5 linked regions of the Nothobranchius furzeri genome follow. The protein of the gene in region 1 interacts with the protein of each later gene in a pairwise test. Links are inferred from orthologs where the notes say so. Each region holds a gene or a part of one and is shown in the gene's direction. Other genes may lie near its edges.

Region 1 (4,274 bases):
CTAGGAGTTTACAGTAGTTGAAAGCAAACGCTTGATGATACTGACTTGGTAACCAAATAGTTTGTCACTTCGTCCCCTCCGGAGAGGAAGTTACGAAGAGGCACTCTTCAAAATAAAACCTTCCCTTGCCGTCAGCTTGGGAGAGGAAAAATGAGGAGGTGCACAGCTCAGCTTTTAATGGATGAGAGAATTACCACGAAGTGTAAATTGATACGACTGGCTGGCTCACCATTAAATGTAGCGGAGGCAAATCGATGATTTTTATTTGTTATGACCAGGAAGATGTAATATTCTATGTAAATATAAATATTAACCTGCTAGGTCTATATTGTAACTGAAGATTCTAGGTTTTAATTCAGAAGATCTAGGTTCTTTGCTTTTTCAGTGATCAACCACACTTCGTGTTACTTCAAGAAAGAGTCAGGTTTATAAAAGTAAGAATTTATTTAGCAAACAATTAAAACATGACTAATTAACTAAGCATTTACTGTGAGTGAATGTAACTAAACGTGATGAAAGAACCAATGTGTGAATGCGGTGTCAGTCAGAGCTTCCTTATCAAAGTAAGCTGAGTTCTGGTGAACAGAATTTGGTTTGCTCTAAGCTATAAAGTTGTTATCATCAGAAGAACATCAGACGCAATCTATCATGTCTACTTCACCCATTTTTGAGAGACCCTCTTGGTGGATCCGAAAGTCGCAGGGGTCGGCTGATCTTTGGCACCGGAGGGTTGTAGAATACCGTGGTACCGACTCTTCAGTCCAGAGATGTCTCGGGTCATAACAGCTGGATGGAACCGTGCGTCTGGCAGACTCTTAAGGAGTCTCACAGTATCAGCTTTGTTTCTGCAGGAGCTGTTTGCTCATCAGCTTCGCAGGTGCAAAAAGGTTTTGACGACGTGTCAAAATCTTTGATGGCTAAAGAGGTTTACTACAGGTGGCCGGTCTGAAGCGATTCTCCAGAACCCTCGAATCACTCAGGATGATCCAGTTTTAAGGTTTTGATGTTATGATTTGCACAGCCAATCAAAGGCTGACAGGTTTGAGAGATGTTACCAAGACAACTCAGAAACATGCCTTCTTGATACGGGACGTTCTGACTGGTTTAAAAGTCTCTGTGTGTTGGAGTTTAACTTAACCGTACTTGTTATTGTGAGTGCAGGCGTGAGGACCTCGTCGTCAAAACATGTTGAACACATGGCGGGTTCTAGTAGACATAAACATAACATAACATCCATTCAGTGAGCACAGATTAATGAAGCATTTCATTATACTATAATTATTGTAAGTAGTAATAAACAAATGTTTATTTAATGATTATCTAGATTATAAGTCATGGAAGAAGTTCATATTGATTTAGTAAATCATTCTTGAATTTAGCAACTCATTCGAGCTGGAGTTGTTCCTTCTGTGGAGGCAGCCAGATGGGACCTTGGGAAAGAAAGTTATTGTTTATCTTTCAGAGCTGCAGAGTCTGTGAGCCCCAGCTGGTATGAAGGCAGGCTCATTTAAAGGGAACACATGCAGTGTTGTGTCTCCTTTCTGACCAGGTGTTGAATAGATGTTGAAAGGTCAGACTGTACCTAAAACTGACCATCGCTGGACGCTACAGATTGCTGTAATCAAATTTGACCACAAGATGTCGTTTACTTCATTCTACAACTTGCAGCTTCACATTTTAATATGTGTTTCAGCTACATGCTGTTGTCAGTTTGGGAAGCATGTAGCTGAATCGTGATCATTTAGCACTTATTACATACTTGGATACCGTGTAGGGCTGGTTATCCATCTACCTCCTCGTTCGTCACTGTGGAGGTGTGGCCACTCACCCCCTTTGTTGAACATTTCTGTTCATTTCTGTGGTTTTTGTAGGCTTTTATCAAAGATGTCCACGAGGGATCTGTCACCGTGGCTTTTGAAAACAAGTGAGTAATATAATGTTTACACACACGACAGTAAAGCTTTATAGTAATACATCTGACGCAATAATAGTAGGATTAAATAATGTTTGTGTTTGTCCGATCCAGTTGGCAGCCGGAACGTCAGATCCCATTCCAGGATGTCCGCTTCCCTCCTCCAGCGGGCTTCAGCAAAGAGATCAACGAAAGCGACGAAGTGGAGGTGAGAAGGGTTCAAACCTCAGGGACAAGCAGGTTCAGGTATTCATCCAAAGGGCAGGAAATAGAAGGACAAGTATGTTTTAGGTGGCAAAAACACTAAAACTCTGGTTTAGAGTTTTCACCTCCAACCCACAGAACAAACTGTTCCAGCAGTTCAGCCTTTCCATTTTAATTGTAATCATAATAATTAATATAGCAGAGGGATGTCCCATTCCGATATCGATATCGGAAGTAATTCGATATCAGCCCAAAAACACTATCGGATTATATCAGACTGCATCAAAACTCTCTGATGTAAGCAGTCCGTTAAGGTTCACATTGTTGGCAACCAATGGTTAAAAAATGTTGTCATTTTTTTCATACTTACTATTGTTGGCTCTTCTTCTCTGATTAAGTAACATCTTTTGATCAAGCCTTTCATACATTCCACACTACAAAACCGGTATGTAGGATTTGTGCTGATATCGTATCGGATAGATATCGGTATCGGTCAATACTGAAAGGCTGCAATATTGGTATCGTATCAGAAGTGAAAAAGTTGTATCGGGACATGCCTAATATAGCATAAATGTGTCGGCACAAAAGCAGAGTATTCAGATTTGTCAACCCTGAACCGCACTAAAGCGTTAAAAAACAAGGACCTTGTCAATTATAGCTGAAATAATTCTTTTAAAGTGTGATTACAAATATTCCTCAAGGCCTAATGTATACGTCTGCGTTGGTATGGAGACACGCAACGCCGGTATCTGTCGTTGCCAGGGCTCTCCAACAAATGGCATCAGCTCACTTCCTGTTACTGCTTTGATCCTTTTTATGTAGTTACAGGGTTTCCCTTACATAGGCGTAGCCGTGGCGGCCCGCCACGGCTGAAATCTTGCCGCCACGCCTACAAGATCCCAAGTTTTATTTATTTATTTATTTATTTATTTATTTTTGCACTGTTTCCCGAAGAAGCAGCGGGAACTACTATGTTGTTGTCGCTTGTGATCACAGCCGGCGAGCAGCAAGAAGAAAGGAGCAGGCAGGGCAGGGTGCAGTTACAGCATAAGTTACTGAGTTTAAAATCAGAAAGGTAGCAGTGGATATAATGCTTTTACGTTTACATGTTTCAGCAGCATTAAGATAAACGAGTGCTGACCATCCTGACAGGGTTTCCTCCAGTGCTTATTAGGCCAGGTTCTCCTCCCCCACCAGGCTAATCATCACTTATTCATGTAAAATGTATTTATTACTTCATGTCTGACTTTAACCACATCTAATACTGTATTACGGCGTGAGCGCAACAGCGACAACTTAAGATCGATGTGTGAGCAGCGTGAGAGGTCGGGTGTTTCATCCGAACCCTTAAAACCTCCAGCAGGCTACGCTGCACTAAGTATTAGCGCGCAGCGCTACATGTCTACATTAGCGACGTGACATGTCTCGGAGAAAGCGTAAAAACACGTTGGACGCTTCTTCTGAAGCGGGAAAATAACGCTTCTTCTTAAGCAGAGCACGACGTCGCCTCGGCTCGTTCACGGCCGAGCCGGTACCGGACTGAGCTCGATAACATGACCCAGCACAGCCACTGGGTCGTTGGAGCTGCCCCGTGACTGCCTGATGGAAAACCAGCGGGTTTCATCAGACTCGTAAGGTTTCTTGTTTTTGCTGGGGACCCCCTGTATTTTACCGCTGCCTCCTGCAGTCTTCCCCTATTAACATTTAAAATGATTCTGTAAACTCGTGTATCGATAGAAACAATCTCTGTCTAAATGTAATTCTCAAATAATAAATAAGACGTGCATTCATCCGTGTATCTCCTTTGATCCGCATTAGTGATGTTTTCAGCACCAGAACAGTGAAGCAAAGAAACATTCCTGAGTTTGTTAGTAATTTCATTCATTAGGTACATCTGACCTGTTCTATTTTTCTCTGAAATGAGATCAAATCAGTGCTTCTATGGGTTGTCTCCAATCTGCACTGGAAAATTGTACTTTATTTAGAGACGTGGCATAATCCCCCCCCCCTGCCACAGCTGGAAAAATTCCTAGGGGAAACAGTGAGTTAATAAAACAGCTGACATGTCGGTGTGACGTAGCTTTGTTCCTGACTCATGTTTTTGCTGGAAGTTTTAAACGCCGTCAGACGTTTTAGTAGAGCTGAAAGCTTTTGTTGG
Region 2 (3,599 bases), on another chromosome or scaffold:
GGAGAGAGGAGAGACGCAAGTGAGCCTTGTTTACGTGATCGGACACCCGCGGTGAAGGGTTCTTTGGGTTTAACTGGTGTTCATTAGCATCGTTTAATTGGATTTTACAGAAACTATCCAACACTTCAGAACATCGAGAAGAAGAAAAAGATCATGGAGGCGCGGCAGCAGACTGGAGGGGTTCTTGAAACGGCTCAGTTTGGGTATGTGTGAGAACATTTGGACTGTTGACCAGCGAGGAACTATCCCCATCCAGACTCCAGAGCATGTAGGAGATGGGACACAAGGTTAAAACCAGTAGAACTATTCAGATTTTTGTTTGACAGACAAATGAGGGGCAGAGGCAGAGGAAGAGGTCGTGGGAGGGGAAACAGAGGGTTCAGAGGGCGACGCCCACAAGGCCCTCCAGTTGAAAGCAGGTCCTCCGAGTCTCCCAGACCCCCCATCCATTGTCCCAGAGGTGAAGATCCATTGGGTGTACTGGCACACGGTGATCATGGTGAGTGTTCTCCAGTCTGGAACGTTTCCTACAAATTGGAGGCAAAAACCAGATTTCTTTGCTTTGTGCTCCCAGATTCAGACAAAGAGGCTCCAGAGTCCAGACCGGTTCTGGTTGTGCCTCCTAAACAGATGAGCTCAGCTCTCGGCGCCTTGATGGCTAACTACGGTTCCATGAGTGAAGAGGATGAGGAACCAGAAGGTGGTGAACAAACCTATGTTTGGCCATTAGGATGCGTAACACTGCTTTATGTTTACCCAGAATGCAAAGAGAACCCTTTTTAGGCGCCATAAAATCCAAGTCGTGACCTCTTCAACGGTTCTTCTCATAGATGTGTGCACAACCCGTTAACACAGAAGCTCTGAGAGATCTTTAATGCCACTTGCGCACTAGCATTGGCTCCACTCTGCGTAACCCGCCCCAGTCTGGCCACGTTTGTTCCACACTGCCTTAGGAATGCGAACGTGATTGAGAACATGGGCGGTCTCCAAAGTTGCCGCAGGTGCAAAAGATCGTGGCGAAGTCTGTGGTGTATCCATTATTAAACAAAGGCAGCCTGAGCAGTCTTGCTTTTGGAGACTCTGATACTACGTCCTGCTTTGCTGTGTGTGTGTGTGTGTGTACCTCCTCACAGCAATGAGATACAGAAAAATGGCTTCAGTCAGAGGCTTGTTAACTCCACAGCATCCAGAATGCGGGAATCCCCTGCTGGCTGATTACATCTGCCAATCCGAGGCTCCCCTAAATGGTACGATTTTGAGCTGGCCAATCAGTCGGCAGTGGGCATATTGGACCAGTTCAGCTCCAGGCCGACCACCTTGGGAATAGGGCTGCAAAGACATCCGGTTGCATGCGGGAAAATCCACAACATTCCCAACCCGGTCCAGGCGGAGTGGAGCCGATGCTTGTGTGTAAGTGCCATAACTGAAGCCAGGGTTCGAATTACGTGGGAGCTGAAGGTGACGGGGTCCCCTGAAAGTCAACAATAGACGCACAAGAGGTGCATCGTCTGCCTGGTGTGGTGATGTTTATCGTATCGCCAGATTCCTACCAATACACAACCCTGGTTTGGACTTGTTGAATGTGTTTTCCCAATAATAAGCTTGTCTCTTTGTGTCATAGCTGTTCCCATTCAGAGAGCCAGAGACCTAGTTCAGGAAAACAAGACCATCCTAAACAGAATCCAGCCCACCTCTGGGTACACAGGGCCTTCTAGAGGTCTGGAAACCTCTACAGAGACGGATCAAGCTCCTCACTTCTACTCTGGTCCTAACACAGTCAAAAACAGGAGAGGTCACCGTGGTAGAGGAAGAAGACACCAAGATACGCCTCAGAAACGTCGTCCCACTTTACTAGAAATGGTACGAGTCTACATGACACAGACATGTAGACATGACTGATGTCTGGTTTTAATGTAGTTCTCCTTTTCAGCTACTAGCTCCAGACATCCGCCACGAGAGGAATGTCCTCCTCCAGTGTGTACGCTATGTTGTCCACAACAACTTCTTTGGACTGGAGAGCGAACATAAGAACCAGCAGACTGAAGACATGTCGGCCACCAGAACTGTCCACAATAACCCGAGTCCAGCAGACGAACCTGAGAACATCAGCTGTTCTGTTGGTGGAGTCGCACCAGAATGTGGAGATCTGCAAAGAGAAGGAACAAGACAGGATGGGAGTTTGATGAGTAACGGCCTGTCTGATCCATGCGGTGAGCCTCCTTTAGACTCTGAAGGGAGTTCTGATGCAGCTGCTGCAGATTTGGTCCAGAACGGCGACGAGATGACCACCTCCTCAGATAAAAACATGTCTGCCTCCAACATGTATGATGATGAGATATGGGAGAGCAACCAGGCTGCTTTGTGAAGATCACAGCGTCTTTGTTTTATTTTGAAATGATTCTGCTTGTTTATAGAAATATCCTCTTTTGTTATATAAAACTATGCATCTGTAAAGTAAGATCCCTATACTATAGCACTTGTTGGTCTTTACAGTCATGTTGTAGTGTTATGTTCTTTTAATATTATTTTTCTTAATTTTGTCACATTACAGATCACAAAACACATTTCAAAATTAGACAACTGTGTAAATACCAAACACCTACAAACGCTAGGATTTCATTTATTAAGGGAACAAAACTATCCAAACTTACCTTGGTCTGTGTGGAAACGTGACGCCATTGTTAAAATATGAATTAACCAATCTTGCAAATACGACAAACTTGATAAAAGAGCGATGAGCTTTCTTTTAAATGTTTTAGTAATATTAACATATTTGCTTATGGAAGGGAGCATCTTGGGAAAATATGTCTTGGGGCAGATAAAGGTTTAAGACATGTATCTGACCATATTTGAAATTAATCTAAACTCAGAGAATTTGAATACACCTTCCATTGCTACTTGGACACGTCATCAGTAAAGAACCCGGGGTCATAGGGTGTTTCGGGTCTTTAATCTTCATACACCCTCACCCGGGCGACCCAGCTGAGGTTGATCAGTCCCCAGCTTGTGTCCAAGTGGCCTATTGCTCCAAGGATCCCCCTCTGCGGCCTCGAGGATGGTTTTGGTGGGTTTCTTCAGTTTCAGTCCTCTTACTCCAAGGAGTTTGAGGGTTCGCAGCAGTGAGTGGCCAGCAAAGCCTCGGCGCCCAACCTCGACAGGCTCACAACGAACTTTCCAGCCGTTGTTCCGACACTCCGAGCTCAGCTCTGCATACAGTACTTGGCCGTCTTTCACTCGTGGGCCTCTTCAATATGGTCTTCCCAAGGGACTGTCAGTTCTAGGATGACCACTTGCTTGGTGGACTCAGATATCACCATATCTGGGCGGAGAGACGTAGCTGTGATGTTTTCTGGGAACTTGAGCTGTCTACCTACATCAACTTGAAACTGCCAATCGCGAGCGGTAGAGAGAAGCCCCCCTTGGGAGCTAGGCCAGTGGCATTGTGCCTTCTGCCCTGCTTTAACAAAGGTGATAGCTTGTTGGGGAGCTGCCTGGGTCTTGCTGTGCTTAATTGAGTCCGCCAAAGCTTTAAGCACCCAGTCATGGTGCCAGCGATAGCGTCCCTCTCATAGTGCTTTTGGGCAACTGCTTAAGATGTG
Region 3 (4,889 bases), on another chromosome or scaffold:
ACCAAATCAAACAATTATCTCATTAAAACAGGTAAATAAAGTGTGAGAAGTCAAATGTTACAGAAATTGTTTAAATCCAAGCTAACAATGATTGAAATGAAAGAAAAACATGAAATTGAGTTAGTTTAGTTTGTTTTGAATAAACATAGGAAACATCTTGCTGAGTAACAAGTTTTCTTTTGACAAGTTTGAGCCAAATCTAAATATAGATTTAAAGGGAAATGTTCATTTAACCAGCTGTTCTTCCAGCTGAAAATATTATTAAGATGTGGTGCTTAAGATTTGCATTTTTAAAGAGAGAATTGTTCTGTCTGGAAATTGATTAAAGCTTATTTTCTTCTGCCTTCATAAACATTTTTAGGAGATTTTCCAAACAGCAGGTCAGAGAGCTTGTCGGGGGAAATAAGCAGAACCTCTTTAGCTCCGGAGCAAACGAGCAAGAATCTGAAACATTCAGTAACTGAATAATGCAAATATATCAACCCTCATACTGTCTCACCTGTCTGAGGTGACTCTTGGCCCTCGACATCTCCTCCTGCATCGTCGTCTTCTTGAACTCCTGTAAGTTTTCAAAATATTCCTCAACGTCCCGCTCATCCTGAGTGAATAAAGTTTCCAGAACAATCTTCCGACCGCAGAGGTCGATGGCAGTGCTGAAGTATTTCTCCAGTTTCCTACATGGGGCATCAAAATCTCTCTCGCTGTCATCCTCGGGGCACGACCTTCGGTTGAGAAACAGCAAGTCCCAGATGTTACTTTCTTCAAAGCCGGATATATCCGGGAAGCAGCCCCCCAGGACGTCTGCCACGCACGTAAACTGTTGGTGAATGTGTTTTAAATCACTGACGGAGAAGAGTCCAGCCCAGCTCATCTGCGGGTCACCGACGGAAACTTCAGCCTTGCGTTTCTGTCGCTGTAACGTGCGGTTGTGACAGGTGACTGCGAACTTGGACTCTATTACATTCCACTGGACGATAAAACCCAGCTTAAACGTTTCTTCCTCTTCAAATATGTCGCTTTTAATGGCTACCCACCCTTCCAGGCTGTCTAACCGGTCTAACTCTACGCTGTCCATCTCAAAAACGGAGGTTTAGAGTTGGCCTCAGAAAGCTGCTGGCTCTGTTTACAACATCCGCCATTGCTGTGACGATAGATGCTTTCAATAATCACAAATATTCGGAAATTTGAAAGTTTCGTTGAACGCAAATAATCAGCCCTCAATTAAACACAGTTCTAGTATTTGGTTTCAATAAATGTTAATATAAGGAATGGATCAGAGAAACATATCAGGATGAGTTTATAATCTGTAAGAGAAACAAATGTGAGATTTCTTTAATGTAACAAACGTAATCTTGGCCCACTGAATAGCATATGCCCAACTTTATAAAAAAAAGTATAAATGATTGAATAGGGGCGTGTTTTGATTTTATTACGTTGTTTCACTAAGGCATGAACGGGGGCGCAAAAATCGAATCAAAGCGTTTCAGTGGCTGACTGGAGAATTTACGAGGATCCCTGAATGCATCGCAATGACTTGTTTCGCGTTCAACTTTGACCTTTGAATCACATGCTCGGGGAATTCCATCCACAAAAACAGCCTAAATCATCCTACAGACTATATATAAACATTTTATTTTTCTGAGTCAACAGAATAAATATGTGTCAATCAAGTAAACAGAATGTTTTAGTTCATTTTTCTAGTTTATCTTAGTGGATTTTTTAGATGTCTGACATCTGAGATGTGTTCTATTTTTATCATGGTTGAGGGGAGTACTCTGCAACTTTCTTACCAACACAGCCCTGAAAAGGTTGCTTTGTACGGACTGCTTACTGAGTTACAAAAGGTACATTTTAAATCAATAGAAAGGTAATTTGCATATGGTTAGTACAAGTGCTGTGTTTATTGACTTATATGAGTTAAAAAAGAGGATTTATTTGACCTAGAACCAGAAAATTTCAAACTTGTGTTCTGACAGTTTCATGGACCTGACTGAAATCCGAGGGCTCAGGCTGGATGTGATTTCAGAGGAAGGTGAGCACCAGGACTTGAGCAGAGGATCAACAACCATGGAGATGTTCAATTTGGCTTCAGATCGAGCTGGAAGGACCTTGCAGAGGTTCTCAGTCGGCACCAATGAATCATTTCGTTTTGAACCCTGTGAGGACAACTCTCCATCTCCAACTGGGGCAGCAGATGGATATGGTGATGATGATGAAGTGTTCAAGAAGGGAGAACCCGAGGTGGTGACATCATTTATAACTGAGGATTTGCAATTAAACATAAATGCACATTCATGAACATTTGGTGGTTTGAAATCTACATTGAATTCAGTTTTCCATTCAAATGGGTGAAAAACCTGCACAAAGAAAACAGTTATAGTTTATGTTTGGTTTTTTTTTTTTTTTACAACATAAAGGGATAAACTCTGACTTTTTGCTGCTTGTAGAGTGACATCGTCTCCATCAGGAACCGACTGCAGGGGAAGGTTGCTGAGATGGAGAATTTTGCAGGTCATCTGGAGGAAATCTTTCTCACCGTTGAGGTAAAACTAAGAAGTCATATTTGGTTTGGTGTGTCATTTATAGGTTTTAACTGTGATTTACTACTTTTAAAAGGAAAATTTTGTCTATTCTTGTTTTTGAAATGATTGATTTTCTATTTTTGACTCAAAGACATACATAACTTATCTCGAAGACTCACAAATCTATTTTTATTGCCTCTCATTCCATTCTTCTCTATGACTAATGTAAATCTCTGAATGGACCTCCATGATCATGTAAATCTGTCCAGGAGAATTTTGGCCGTCAAGAGCAACTCTTGGAGCAGCACTACAACGATGTGCTGCAGACTTTGTCTCAGCGATATGACGAAAGGGCGAGTGAACTGGAGGAAGAGAAAAAGAGTAAGTTGGAGTCTCTGTACAGCCAGCTGCTGGCCTGTGGTCAGGCACTGGGCAACTCGAAGGAGCTTATTGAGACAGCTCAGGAGACCTACCGCAGCCAGGACAAGAGACTCTTCCTGAAGGTGCTTTAGCTCAGTTTCTGCAGAACTTTGGAAATTGTTCAGCTGCCTTGATCTGAAAAAGCCATTTGCCTGATTTTTTTAACTTTTGTTGACAGACTGTTATGCCCATCATTAAAAGGTAAACATGACCATTCTAGTGAGTTTGCATGGCGTGACAACTAACATTTTTACAGGTTTAAGTTTGTGTGGCATGAAGCTGTTGTTGTAGCTCCAAGTAGCAAAAATCAGGAGGAGTTTCCTCATGGCATGGCATTTTTTACCTGTTAGCAAAATTTCTGATTTTCTTTTCATTGTTAACTAGATTTGAAACATTTGTGAAAGAGGATGTTGACCTCACCCTGTCTACAAGCCTTGAATTCAACACACCACTCGCTGATCTGTCAGATGTCACAACCATGATGGAGTCTATCAACATCATTCCAGGTCTGATTCAAAAGCGCATCCTCTATGCTCAATGGTGGCATTTTCGCAACAGCATTTTCTTTGTGACGTCAAAGCAGTTGAGTTTGTGAGTTTTGGTTTTGACACATCTAAACTTCTACAAATGAATAGGGTCAGTAGAAAAGTCCTGGCAAGGCTGATTGCACATAGCAACTGATTTTAGTTTTCTTACACATCGAGGCTCGTGTGTCCATACATTTAGTGAGGTTAGCAACCAGGAGAGTGTTGTGATTAGGGATGCACCGATACGATACTGGTATCGGCACCGATACCAATACCAGTATCGTGTCGGTAAAAGTTAACTGATACCAGCAACCGATACCAATGCAGTTGCTTGAAAATGGCTTCCCTGCAACTTGTCATTTCTGTTCACCTAATATTTTAGTTTAGTGATGATTTCCAGTCATACATTTTACTTTTTATCTACCTCACAGTATTTTCCTGTTGAAAGCAAAGAAGAAAATAAAATCTGTATTCCAAATCATTGCATTTTTTTGTGTGGTAGAAATATCGGTGCTGGTAATCGGAATCAGTGAGTACTCAGATCCGAGTATCGGTATCTTATCGGTTTGGAAAAAAGTGGTATCGTTGCATCCCTAGTTGTGATTAGACCATATCTATCTGAAGCATCTTCATTAGTTTCAGGACCACTTGATGACAGATTTATGGAACAGAATAATGGAAAAACTCGCATGATGATATTTTTATACCCTGAAGCTTGTCAGGATGGGATGGGATACAATATTGTAATCTGTTTGACAAAATTACAATAATATCACAGTGATATCAGAGTGACAGAAATTATAGGTTTACGTTAGATGTATGATACAAAGACCTTTCAAGGAAAGTTAAAGTAATTCATCCACGTAGGGAAATCAGATGGAGATGGACTAAAATGGCATCCATGAAGAATTCAGATACATTCTGATCTCACTTTTGCGTGTATCATCTCAATGATCCACAAGACTTTTGGGAAATATTTTGTGGATTGACAAGACTAAACTTAAGACTTCTAGATGGTGTGTGTCCTGTTATATCTGGTGTAAAACTAACACTGCATTTCATAAAAAGAACACCATTCCAACAGTCAAACACGGTGGCGGTAGTGTGATGGTCTCAAGATGTTTTGCTGCTTCGGGACCCGGACCGTTTGTCGTAACTGATGGAACCATGAATTCCCATTTGTAAAGGCATTATTTTTGTGTTGTTATTTTCACTCTTAGTCAGGGTGTTATTGTTTTTGATAATCTACTGCAGGGGTGTCAAACTCATTTTAGGTCAGGGGCCACATTGAGGGAAATTAGTCCCAAGTGGGCCGGACCGGTAAATAAAAAAAAACTTCAGATTGTTTTCTTTGTTTTAATACAATCAACATAAAACAAGGCTGGAGCCTGAGGGCAGTGTAGTACAAGTACAAAACCTG
Region 4 (4,935 bases), on another chromosome or scaffold:
ACCAATCAACCTAACAGTCATGTTTTTGAACTGTGGGAGGAAGCCGGAGCACCCGGAGAGAACCCACGCATGCACAGGAGAACATGCAAACTCCATGCAGAAAGATCCCAGGCCAGGAATCGAACCCAGGACCTTCTTGCTGCAAGGCAACAGCTGTTTCTGCAATGCACCAAAATTACTTGCCCTTGGTTGTTTTTCCTATAAGTCCACAAACATTTAAAACACGTGTGTGTACACACACACACACACACACACACACACACACATATATATATATATATGTGTATATATATATATATATGTATATATGTATGTATGTATGTATGTATGTATGTATGTATGTATGTATATAAGTCTATTTATCAGACACAGGTGACATCAAGATTTATAGAATAAAATAGAACCATAAAATGATAAATTAATCATTTAGTTATTTTTACTCATTCCAGTTAAGTTGTGGTTTATTAATTTATGTATGTTAGGCTACTATAAAAGGAAATAGTTCAGGTTAATTATAAATTTTGAGTTCTATTTAATACAAGGAAAAGGCTGAACTAATTCAACACATTTGAGTTCTAAAATATTTGATTATTTTCAACATTTTGGGTTTACAGAGTGCAGAAAGATGAGGGCGCACAAAAAAATAAAAATAAAAAATACAACTGAACCAAAATATCACTGTCCCAAACATGCTGAGGCTATATAAAGCTTGAGGCACACCGTAGGCGGACGATCAGTGTTGCTCCTGCGATTTTGAGAACAAGATTTTGTCACACAGGAAATGCCACTGAGCACTTCTGGAAAGTCGTGCGATAGTCACAACATCACGCGGGACTTGAGAACAGGAAGCGGGAAGTGACTCTATTGTTTATACTTGATCAGACTTACCATAGCATTTTGTGAGACTCAAATTTTTTAAAAGTGGGAAAGTATACTATTTATTAAAATACATGAACATCAATAGTACTTTAAAGTTATCAAAAGTGCGGTTGGGTTTGTTCTGCGTCGTAATGTCTACTGTAAAGTACTCCACAATGTTGTAAAGCTGCGGTGGCGCTGCGCGGCTGCGCCTGAGATGAAACTGGTGCCTATCTTGTTTTATCTCCGGTTCTATTCTTCTTCAGCCAACACGTCGGACATGTTCAGAAGAAGAACCGGAGATAAAACAAGTTCTGGTTTGGAGCAAGAGTTTATAAAGAAGTTAGCGAGATCCAGCATTTATTTTGGTAACCAACTTCTGCTTATTGGCAAGCAAATTTGTACATTAGCTAAATGATTAAGTACCAGCTAAATATTTATTTTTCACAATGTTATTTAGCTCCACACTATATTTTATATTTTTTGAGTCAGACTTAAATATTTATTTCTCAAATACTGATTTTGCAAACTAAATGTTTAGCTCCAAAATAAATATTTAGCTGGGATCTAAATATTTATTTAGGAAAATAAATATTTAATTTACAAATCAAATATTTAGTTCCAAAATAAATATTGAATTAGTAAATTAAATATTTAGTTAGTGAATTAAATATTTATTTTACAAACTAAATATTTAGATCTGACCTAAATATTTAGTTTGCAAAATAAATATTTAACTACAAATTAAATATTTAGCTTGCTAACTAAATATTTATTTGGAAACTTTAACATTTATAAACATGGTGAAAATACGACTTCAAAAAAGTGAACTCCCAATTTTTTCTCTTATGATATGCTAAATAACCAAAAGTATTGCTGTTAGATTACGACTGTTTGACTTCACAAATGGCACCCCAAAGTACAAGTGCCTGAGTAAGCTGTAAAAACGAGAGGGATCAACATGTCGACGGCGCCGAGCTGCGACTGTCCCTTTAAGAAAATGCACTTGCAGCCATTTTCTGCTCTTTGTGTGGAGCGGATTAGCACAGGGCTGGTACCGAGCGAAACTAGAGCATCAGTCGGTACGGAACACCCAGAAAACACCCAGGAACCACCGGAGAGCTGTCGCAGGACCGCGACACCGGCCACCCGTCTGCTTGTCGCCGGACTCCGCGGGACATGCGATTTTCGGGTAGGTGGAAACATGGATGCAGAGGAAGGAGAGAGGCTGGGGGTGATGATGTGAGCTGGGTAGTGATGATGGCTGGAGAGCGACCGGGAGAGCTGCTGCCGCTTTTCTCTCCCTCCGTCTCGCGCTTTTACATCTTTCCCGTCACCTGTGTGTTTGTGCATGAACGAGATTCCGGATGAAAAGATGAGCGGATGAATGTGACTGATGAATGGGAGTCCCGTTCGCCTCCATCGGTGCCGTGGCTCAGATGGGTGGGGTGAGGCTTCCCGAGCAGCAAGTGCACCGAGGAGTGATGGAGCACGTACACGTACAGATAACGGTTTCCCGAGCCGGTAACGTCTTTTACACAGATAAGGTAAAATATACACCCGAGTGAGTTTATGTTTAGGACTCCGAGAGCTCGATCACACATTTTACTCCCCCCTCCCCCCCTTTATTCTGTATCTACGGTGAGAAATGCCCTTCTCCACCCTAGAACCCCCCCGTAGTTGATGCATCCGACCAGCAGGCCACACGGTCCAGACCCATCACGGCCATCGCACCAGCAGCCTTCGGGCCTGGGTGATCACCATCCCCGGTTCACACGCTTCCGTCTCTGCATTCACACCGCTGCACACCTCTTTCCTGAAATCCGCCTCTCATCATGTGCTGTCAGCAAGTTGTAAACATGCAGCGATGCAGATTTTCCATGTAGTGGTGGAGAAAACCATTTTAACTGATCTAAAGTGGTTGCACTGGTTCAGACAAGACTGGGACTGGTGGGTTGTGTTCACCATTAGAGGCGCCTCTGGTATCACTGCTTCATCACAAGACAAACTGTTTAAAAATCATTATTTTTTATTGAAGTTTAGGTTAAAAGCAACACACATGAATGGAGTTGCTGTTTTTTGTTTTGTTTTCTAGAGAAGATGTCTACTGTTTGACAAAAAAAAGTAATCCCGTTGATTAATTGGCACATTTACAGAACAAAAGAGAAAATAATCACATTTATCTTTGGCTTCTTGTCGAGCTCTAAGGCCCGGTTCACACAGGAGGGTTTAAAATTGTGGGGTGATTTTTAAAAACGTGAGAGACCCCACACGAGGTGATGAAAAATCACCAAACAGTTTTGGTCCTGCAGTCCAGCAACATGGCTAAAACTACACACCGATTAGATGAGAAGTCTTGCTAAACCTATCTGTGGTGGAGGAGGAGCATGCTTTTGATGGACTTTCAACATGAAGCATGTTTGTTTGTCTTCGATGTTGGGCCGAGCCCAGATTTAAGATCGAAGCAGTCCCGATGTCCTTCTGAGAAGACCAGAGTGGCTGTAGCACCCCACACATGGCCAGAATCAGAGGTTGACTAATATTGTTTTTTGTATTGCTGATACCAATGCTTTGGTGGACACCAGCAGTTAAGGATGCTGCCAAGCTGAAGAAAGAGTCCTGTCAGGTCTTTTTGGCTTGTGGGACTCCAGAGGCAGCTGACGGGTACCGGTGGTCCAAGCAGAACGCGGCTCGGGTGGTCGCCAAGGTAAAAACCCGGGCATGGGAGGAGTTCGGTGAGACCATGGAGCAAGACTTTCGTACGGCTTCAAGGAGATTCTGGTCCACCATCCAGCGCCTCGGGGAGAAAGCAGTGTGCTACCAACACTATCTATAGTGGGGACGGTGTGCTGCTGACCTCTACTCAGGACTTGTGGATCGGTGGGCAGAATACTTTGAAGACCTCCTCAATCCCACCGACACGTCTTCCAGTGAGGAAGCAGAGTCTGGGGACTTGGAGTTGGGCTCTCAAATCTCTGGTGCTGAGGTCATGGTCAGTCGATGGCCGATTTGTGCAGCCGAAATTTTGGGCAGATTTTAGTGATGCACCGATATGAAAATTTTGAGCAGATGTGATATGTGATATTAATTTCACTGTTATGGACGATAACCGATATTTGCCAATACTGATATATTGACATAACTGCTTCAAAAATCAGGAGATTCGGTGGAGAATGAAAATTATTAAAGCTGAATTTACATCATTATGTACAAACACCTCACACATTTACGCTTCTGAGATGATTATCATCAATGTCACATGACTAAACAAGTACACATCAACCTCTGAAACAGAGAAACAAAAGGAAATGATGGGAAAAATATTTGTTGTTAATATTGACCCAGTTTTATTTATCGGACTGATGCCTATATATGAAAAAAGGTCTAACTTCGGCTGATACCGATATTGATGCCGATATATCGTGCATCCCTTGCAGATTTTCATGGCCGATATTTATCAATCAATCAATCAAAGCTTTATTTATAAAGCGCCTTCCGCAACCCTGTCAGGAAGCCCAAAGACATTTACCACCTTATTTTGATGCCAAAATGTCACTAATAACATTAGTTCATGCACAGATTTTCTGAAGCTGGATCCATTTTTTGAACACTTAATTTAACCAGCTGTTAAATCTTTGTTTTGTGCACTGATCAGTGTTAAAATCAATAAGGTTGCACCAATATGACATTTTGGGCCGATACTGATATCCTAAACTAATATTGGCTGATTAACGATATGTGCCGTTTAGGGTTGTCATGGTGTGAAAATTTAACCTCACGGTTATTGTGACCAAAATTATCACTGTTTTCGGTATTATCGCGGTATATTTTTTTTAAACGTGTTACATTTTCAGACAAGTACATAAACCCTAGCCTAGTGAACTAGACCAAATTCTTGCTTTGCAAAGAATGGTCTAGGCATGCTCCATTGGAACCTCAGCAGCTCCTACCAGGACTCTGGCTAGCCAATCACAGCTCTCTAGAGGGGTTTCAAACACATAAAGAGCTGTGATTGGTCCACAATGGTGGACCAATCATAGTGCTCTATCTGCTTAGTGAACAAATCACAGAGCTTTA
Region 5 (5,044 bases), on another chromosome or scaffold:
AACCGTGTCTGGGAGGCTGTGGTTGCTGCAGCACACAATGTTGATGGTGAACAGATCAAAACACTGACAGAATCCATGGATGGCAGGCTTTTGAGTGTCCTTGCAAAGAAAGGTGGCTATATTGGTCGCTGATTTGTTTTTGTATTGTTTTTGAATGTCAGAAATATATATTTGGGAATGTGGAGATGTTATATTGGTTTCACTGGTAAAAATAAATAATTGAAATGGGTATTTATTTGTTTTTAAGTTGCCTAATAATTATGCACAGTAATAGTCACCTGCACACACAGATATCCCCCTAAAATAGCTAAAACCAAAAACTACTTCCAAAAACATTCAGCTTTGATATTAATGAGTTTTTGGGGTTCATTGAGAACATGGTTGTTGTTCAATGATAAAATTATGACCTGCATAGCGACCGGTCATCTACAAATGTAATTCCACTTTCTAGGTGGATTTTCTATTCTATCTTCTAACACCCAGAAGATTTTGTAGTGCTTGTTGACATTTCATGAAGACAAGATTGTCAAACTTATCTCAGACTGCTGGATTCCACACTCTGAATGAAAAGTGAACTTTTACAACTCATAAGGTAAATCATTTATCGATATTTTTATTCGGTCAACTACAACAATTTATCAATTTTACATAAAAGTAATCAAGCAACCAAAAAGAATAGGTTGAAGCCTAGTGGCTTATAATTAGCCTATCCTTAACTCCCACAGAGATAATCAAATCCCTAACCAAGGCTGATAGATAAGATGCATACCATTTAAAGAAAAAGCAATGATAAATCAAGAAATCAAATCAACACAAGGTTAGACATCAAACTAAATTTCTATAACTTTGGAAGATGCAAATTTTTAAAATTTTCTTGAAAAATGACAAAGAATAACACATCTTCAGTTCATCAGTAAGTCCATTCCATAACTTCACTCCCAAAACCGACACACATCTATATTTAGCATTAGTTCTCGCTTTAGGTATTTCAAACATATAAGACCCCCTCAAATCATATTTTCCATCTCTTAATTTAAACATACTTAAAATACTAATTGGAACATTCTTTTTCACCACTCTATACACCATTTCTAAAGTTTTAAGATAAATAATGTCCTTAAATTTTAACATAGCTGATCCTACAAAAAATTGGTTTGTGGACTCCCTATATCCAGCTTTATTTATTATTCTAATAGCTCTTTTTTGCAATTTAAAAACTGAATCCAGATATGTTTTGTATGTTTATAATCATAAGGTTGAATGAACCAGATGTTATGTAAAATGTTTGAATAATCTTATGAGAAGATAGAATAGAAAATCCACCTAGAAAGTGGAATTATGTCTGTAGATGACCGGTCACTATGCAGGTCAATATATAGGTCAAAATTGCCCTTTTCTGGACGTTACACTGATGTCTTAACATAAACTGAGAACCAGGCGTCACAATGTGGTTGGAGGTTTAAATATTATTAAAGCAAGTGCTATAACTGTTAAATAGTACTGAAGCAAAAACTGCCATCAAGTGATTTTCCCTTTCAGTTTAGTAAATATTCAGTACCGATACAGGAGTTTTTTCTTTTTATTTAATTTTTAGGTTTTTGGTATTATCTGGCTAATAATGAATCCTTAAGGGAAAATTGTGCAAACCTTCAGTGAAATAAAGTGCGCAAAAATAATCAATAAAATCGTTTAATCTAAACAATTTAATCTCTGAGCCAGAAATTTTGATTCTCATAGATTAACACTCCGGGCCAGTCAGATGTTTTTGAATGTTTATGGTGTAGTATAACATTTGGCCACTAGATGGCAGAAGAGGAGCATTCTCAACACAACTTCCGCTACTGTGCAGGAAGTGACGAATTAAGTAAACAGTCGTCACTCAGTGCATCAAGAAGTTAAAATAATTGATATTTTAAGGCAAGATTTGCAAAAAAAATTGACCTAATGAATAGAAAGCGGGTAGTATAGGACGAACTCTAATAAACCTAACCCTAGCAAAGGTAAGAGGTTTGCGGCGACATTTCAATAGCAGCTGCCTGAAAGCTACATAAGCTAGCAGCTTTAGCAGCGGTGTTAGCATGTAGTTTGGTTAGGTCACGAAGTAGAAATGTATTGTTAGGTTTTAACCATAAATCCAGGGTTTCATACGTCTTTAAAGAGGCATTTACCTGGGAAGCAAGAGCTGTTCGTAACCAGATGTTTCTGCCGCTCCGGTATCTCTCCTCTGTCAGCATCGACTGAGTTCAGCATCGATTAGAAACGGTGACTGTTTATTTTACTGGAAAAAGTAGTTTACTTTAAAACGTTTCCATATTTATCCCAGAAAACATCTACTCGTTTGTAATTAAATCGCTCTTAGTAGAGTTAAAAGTAAGTTCCTGATATTCATTTCTTTAGTTTTTATATTTTAGATCTCAAAGTTGAGCTGTTTCTTTTTCAGGGACAGTAGAGACATTGTCCTACAATGTTCACAGACATGGACTATGATTTGGAGGAGGACAAACTGTGAGTCTTGATGCTTTATAATCTCTATAATCCATTTACACGCGTTGATGCCTCTTGTAACACAGACTTTTCTGTTTACACCAAACCCTTTATGATTATCTGCTGATGTGCGGTGATTTCTGGATATCAACACGTTTCCTCTTTATTAGCGGGATCCCAACGGTACCCGGCACTGTGACCCTGAAGAAAGATGCAAACAATCTTATCGGCATCAGCATTGGTGGTGGAGCACAGTACTGTCCCTGCCTCTACATCGTTCAGGTTGTTGTGTCGACATTAATTAGGGAAAAGAATCACTAAACTTCCATTTGAAGATGTCAGTGGAGAAATCCAATCGCTTTCTAGTCATTGTTACCGTGATTTGTGATTGTTCTGGTCTCTCAGGTCTTTGATAACACGCCGGCAGCTCTCGACGGGACGCTGGCAGCAGGTGATGAAATCACAGGTGTGAATGGGAAAACGGTGAAAGGAAAAACAAAAGTGGAGGTGGCCAAGATGATTCAAACGGTCCAGGTACTCGGGAATGACGCCAGTCTGTTATTTAAAGATCTGAACATTAGGAGGTTATGAGAATCTATTAGACATATTTCTGAGATTGAAGATTAAACACAGCAATACTTTCTATTACTGTTTTCTTCTATGTTATTCTTATATCATCAAACCAAACTTAAACCATTAAACTGACTTCATCTCACCTCGATATACTCTAGATAGATATAATTATGTTACTTAAATATGATGTAGAATTTAAAGTGTGTTACATAACAACATGCAGACCAATAAGGAGAGAGGATGGCTTACTTTCTGAAGTTCTGCTGCTTCATCTGTGAATATTTCCACGAGGTTGTGAGCCCAGTTTCACTCAGAGGAGCAGAGGGACGGTTTCAGCGTTCCAGGCTGTTTAAAAGAGGACAAAGGGACAAAGCTCGTGGCGTCACATCAGCAGGACAGAGCGACTGCTGCTTTTGGCTTCCTTTGTCCATCCAAAAGAAAACATGACTTCCTGAATGGTGGGATAAAAACTGGTCTCAGTGTGGGAATTAAAGGCTTACACTGTTGACGTTACCGTTTCAGGACGCACGCTGCTCGTGAAGGTCCCCTTCTGTACCACAAAGTTGACCACATAAACCATTTTGTTCCTAATGCTTGAATATTAGAAATGAATACAGATGTTTCCTGTTTTTACATAAAGAAGATCCTAAATTTGTGTGTGTGTTCACAGGGGGAGGCGGTGATCCACTACAACAAGCTGCAGGCTGACCCCAAACAGGGAAAGTCTCTAGATATCGGTACCCTAATCTGGATTTTCTACCACTCTCATGTTTTAGTGTAACGCTGTGTCGTCTTCTTAAGTCACGCTGGATGACGTTTGTTTGTTTCAGTGCTGAAAAAGGTGAAGCACCGCCTGGTGGAGAACATGAGCTCAGGCACAGCTGATGCTCTCGGACTCAGCAGAGCCATTCTGTGTAACGGTAAGTCTTGTTTTAAACGTTGTTGTTGTTGTTTAAAAGGTGACGGTTGGTTTAACCCTCTGGGGTCCATGGACGCGTACACGAGTCTATTGAACAGGTCTGATTTGGGACGCTGTAGCAGCAAGACTCCGCCTCCCTGAGTTTCATTTTCGATTCAGCTTTAGAAAGGAGATTATAAACTACACCCCCGTTTTTAAATTTTGTTCATAGGCAAGTAAAAGCGGAGTTATACTAAACAAAAAAAACAACCTATTTTTAGACAATCTGATAACTTGTCAAAACAGCAGTTTGGTAATCCGTGAGCGGGAATGTGCTTGTGAACATAAAAAACCCACAAAAACATGAGATCCTGTTGCTGTTGGTGGAAGTCTCACATATTCAGCTGATAAAAAGTATCATTGTGTAGCTGAAAGAGAGAGGAAGGCCGCACGAGTAACGAGACGTGCGCTAAAAGGAGCCGCTTTGTGGGGAAAGGAGTGGCGCCAACGGAGTAACAACAAACAATTAGACAGATATTGACGGTAAACTTCATATTTTGGAGCGATCCGGACAGAAATATTGTCTCTGCAGTTTAGTCGGCTTTTATTAGGCTTATATAAAGGATGATGAGAAGGATAAATGTCCACCAGGCAGTTCAGAAAGTACGGCTGTTTTTTGAACTGGAAGCAGAGGAAGTGGGCGGAGACTCGCAGCCGGAGTCTGAGGCAAACAGCGAGGATGTTGATGACGATGTGGCAAATCCATCCTTCCTCATAGAAGAGTTGGGTCATGATGAGGTAGAGGATGAAGGCAGAGATCCAGCTCCTCGGAGATCCAACAAGAGGAGTGGGCGGCGCCGCGCAGCTGTCAGAGCCACTCCCCACTCCAAAATGCATGTACATTATTGCCAAATTAATAAAATAAGTATAAATTCAGATAGTCCAGGTTGTCCTGAAAAAAAAATATGGCAATATTTATTGTTTTTATTAGAAAATGCAAAAGAAAAACCTAAATGAGTCAAAAAAGGTGATTTACACCCTGGACCCCAGAGGGCTAATATTTTTTTTTAATTGTAATTTGCTGTATTT

The links.
Region 2: the proteins of fmr1 (region 1) and nufip1 interact in a two-hybrid assay, tested with the Homo sapiens proteins (2 studies listed by BioGRID). The link is inferred for Nothobranchius furzeri from reciprocal best matches to the Homo sapiens genes FMR1 and NUFIP1.
Region 3: the proteins of fmr1 (region 1) and fibronectin type III and SPRY domain-containing protein 2 interact in binary tests that used the Homo sapiens proteins (3 or more experiments, as listed by UniProt). The link is inferred for Nothobranchius furzeri from reciprocal best matches to the Homo sapiens genes FMR1 and FSD2.
Region 4: the proteins of fmr1 (region 1) and cyfip2 interact in a two-hybrid assay, tested with the Homo sapiens proteins (2 studies listed by BioGRID and IntAct). The link is inferred for Nothobranchius furzeri from reciprocal best matches to the Homo sapiens genes FMR1 and CYFIP2.
Region 5: the proteins of fmr1 (region 1) and pick1 interact in a two-hybrid assay, tested with the Homo sapiens proteins (2 studies listed by BioGRID and IntAct). The link is inferred for Nothobranchius furzeri from reciprocal best matches to the Homo sapiens genes FMR1 and PICK1.

Annotation. Positions count from the first base shown.
Region 1 is NC_091741.1:30,646,171-30,650,444, reverse strand, and holds part of fmr1 (fragile X messenger ribonucleoprotein 1), read left to right. Parts: intron 1-1,871; coding exon 1,872-1,924; intron 1,925-2,026; coding exon 2,027-2,120; intron 2,121-4,274.
Region 2 is NC_091742.1:74,292,521-74,296,119, forward strand, and holds the end of nufip1 (FMR1-interacting protein NUFIP1), read left to right. Parts: coding exon 1-19; intron 20-110; coding exon 111-203; intron 204-326; coding exon 327-499; intron 500-574; coding exon 575-700; intron 701-1,621; coding exon 1,622-1,860; intron 1,861-1,930; coding exon 1,931-2,365; 3' UTR 2,366-2,466; downstream 2,467-3,599. UniProt on the Homo sapiens protein: Binds RNA.
Region 3 is NC_091749.1:41,524,421-41,529,309, forward strand, and holds the start of fibronectin type III and SPRY domain-containing protein 2, read left to right. Parts: upstream 1-1,549; 5' UTR 1,550-1,739; coding exon 1,740-1,867; intron 1,868-1,976; coding exon 1,977-2,244; intron 2,245-2,447; coding exon 2,448-2,543; intron 2,544-2,791; coding exon 2,792-3,025; intron 3,026-3,120; coding exon 3,121-3,143; intron 3,144-3,326; coding exon 3,327-3,448; intron 3,449-4,889. Other genes in the region: WASP homolog-associated protein with actin, membranes and microtubules, read right to left, coding at 500-1,075.
Region 4 is NC_091742.1:50,768,372-50,773,306, reverse strand, and holds the start of cyfip2 (cytoplasmic FMR1-interacting protein 2), read left to right. Parts: upstream 1-1,858; 5' UTR 1,859-2,050; intron 2,051-4,935. UniProt on the Homo sapiens protein: Involved in T-cell adhesion and p53/TP53-dependent induction of apoptosis. Does not bind RNA. As component of the WAVE1 complex, required for BDNF-NTRK2 endocytic trafficking and signaling from early endosomes.
Region 5 is NC_091752.1:66,109,271-66,114,314, reverse strand, and holds the start of pick1 (PRKCA-binding protein), read left to right. Parts: upstream 1-1,859; 5' UTR 1,860-2,000; intron 2,001-2,126; exon of another isoform or gene 2,127-2,370; intron 2,371-2,440; 5' UTR 2,441-2,464; coding exon 2,465-2,505; intron 2,506-2,654; coding exon 2,655-2,766; intron 2,767-2,860; exon of another isoform or gene 2,861-2,889; coding exon 2,890-3,018; intron 3,019-3,727; coding exon 3,728-3,794; intron 3,795-3,887; coding exon 3,888-3,977; intron 3,978-5,044. UniProt on the Homo sapiens protein: Probable adapter protein that bind to and organize the subcellular localization of a variety of membrane proteins containing some PDZ recognition sequence.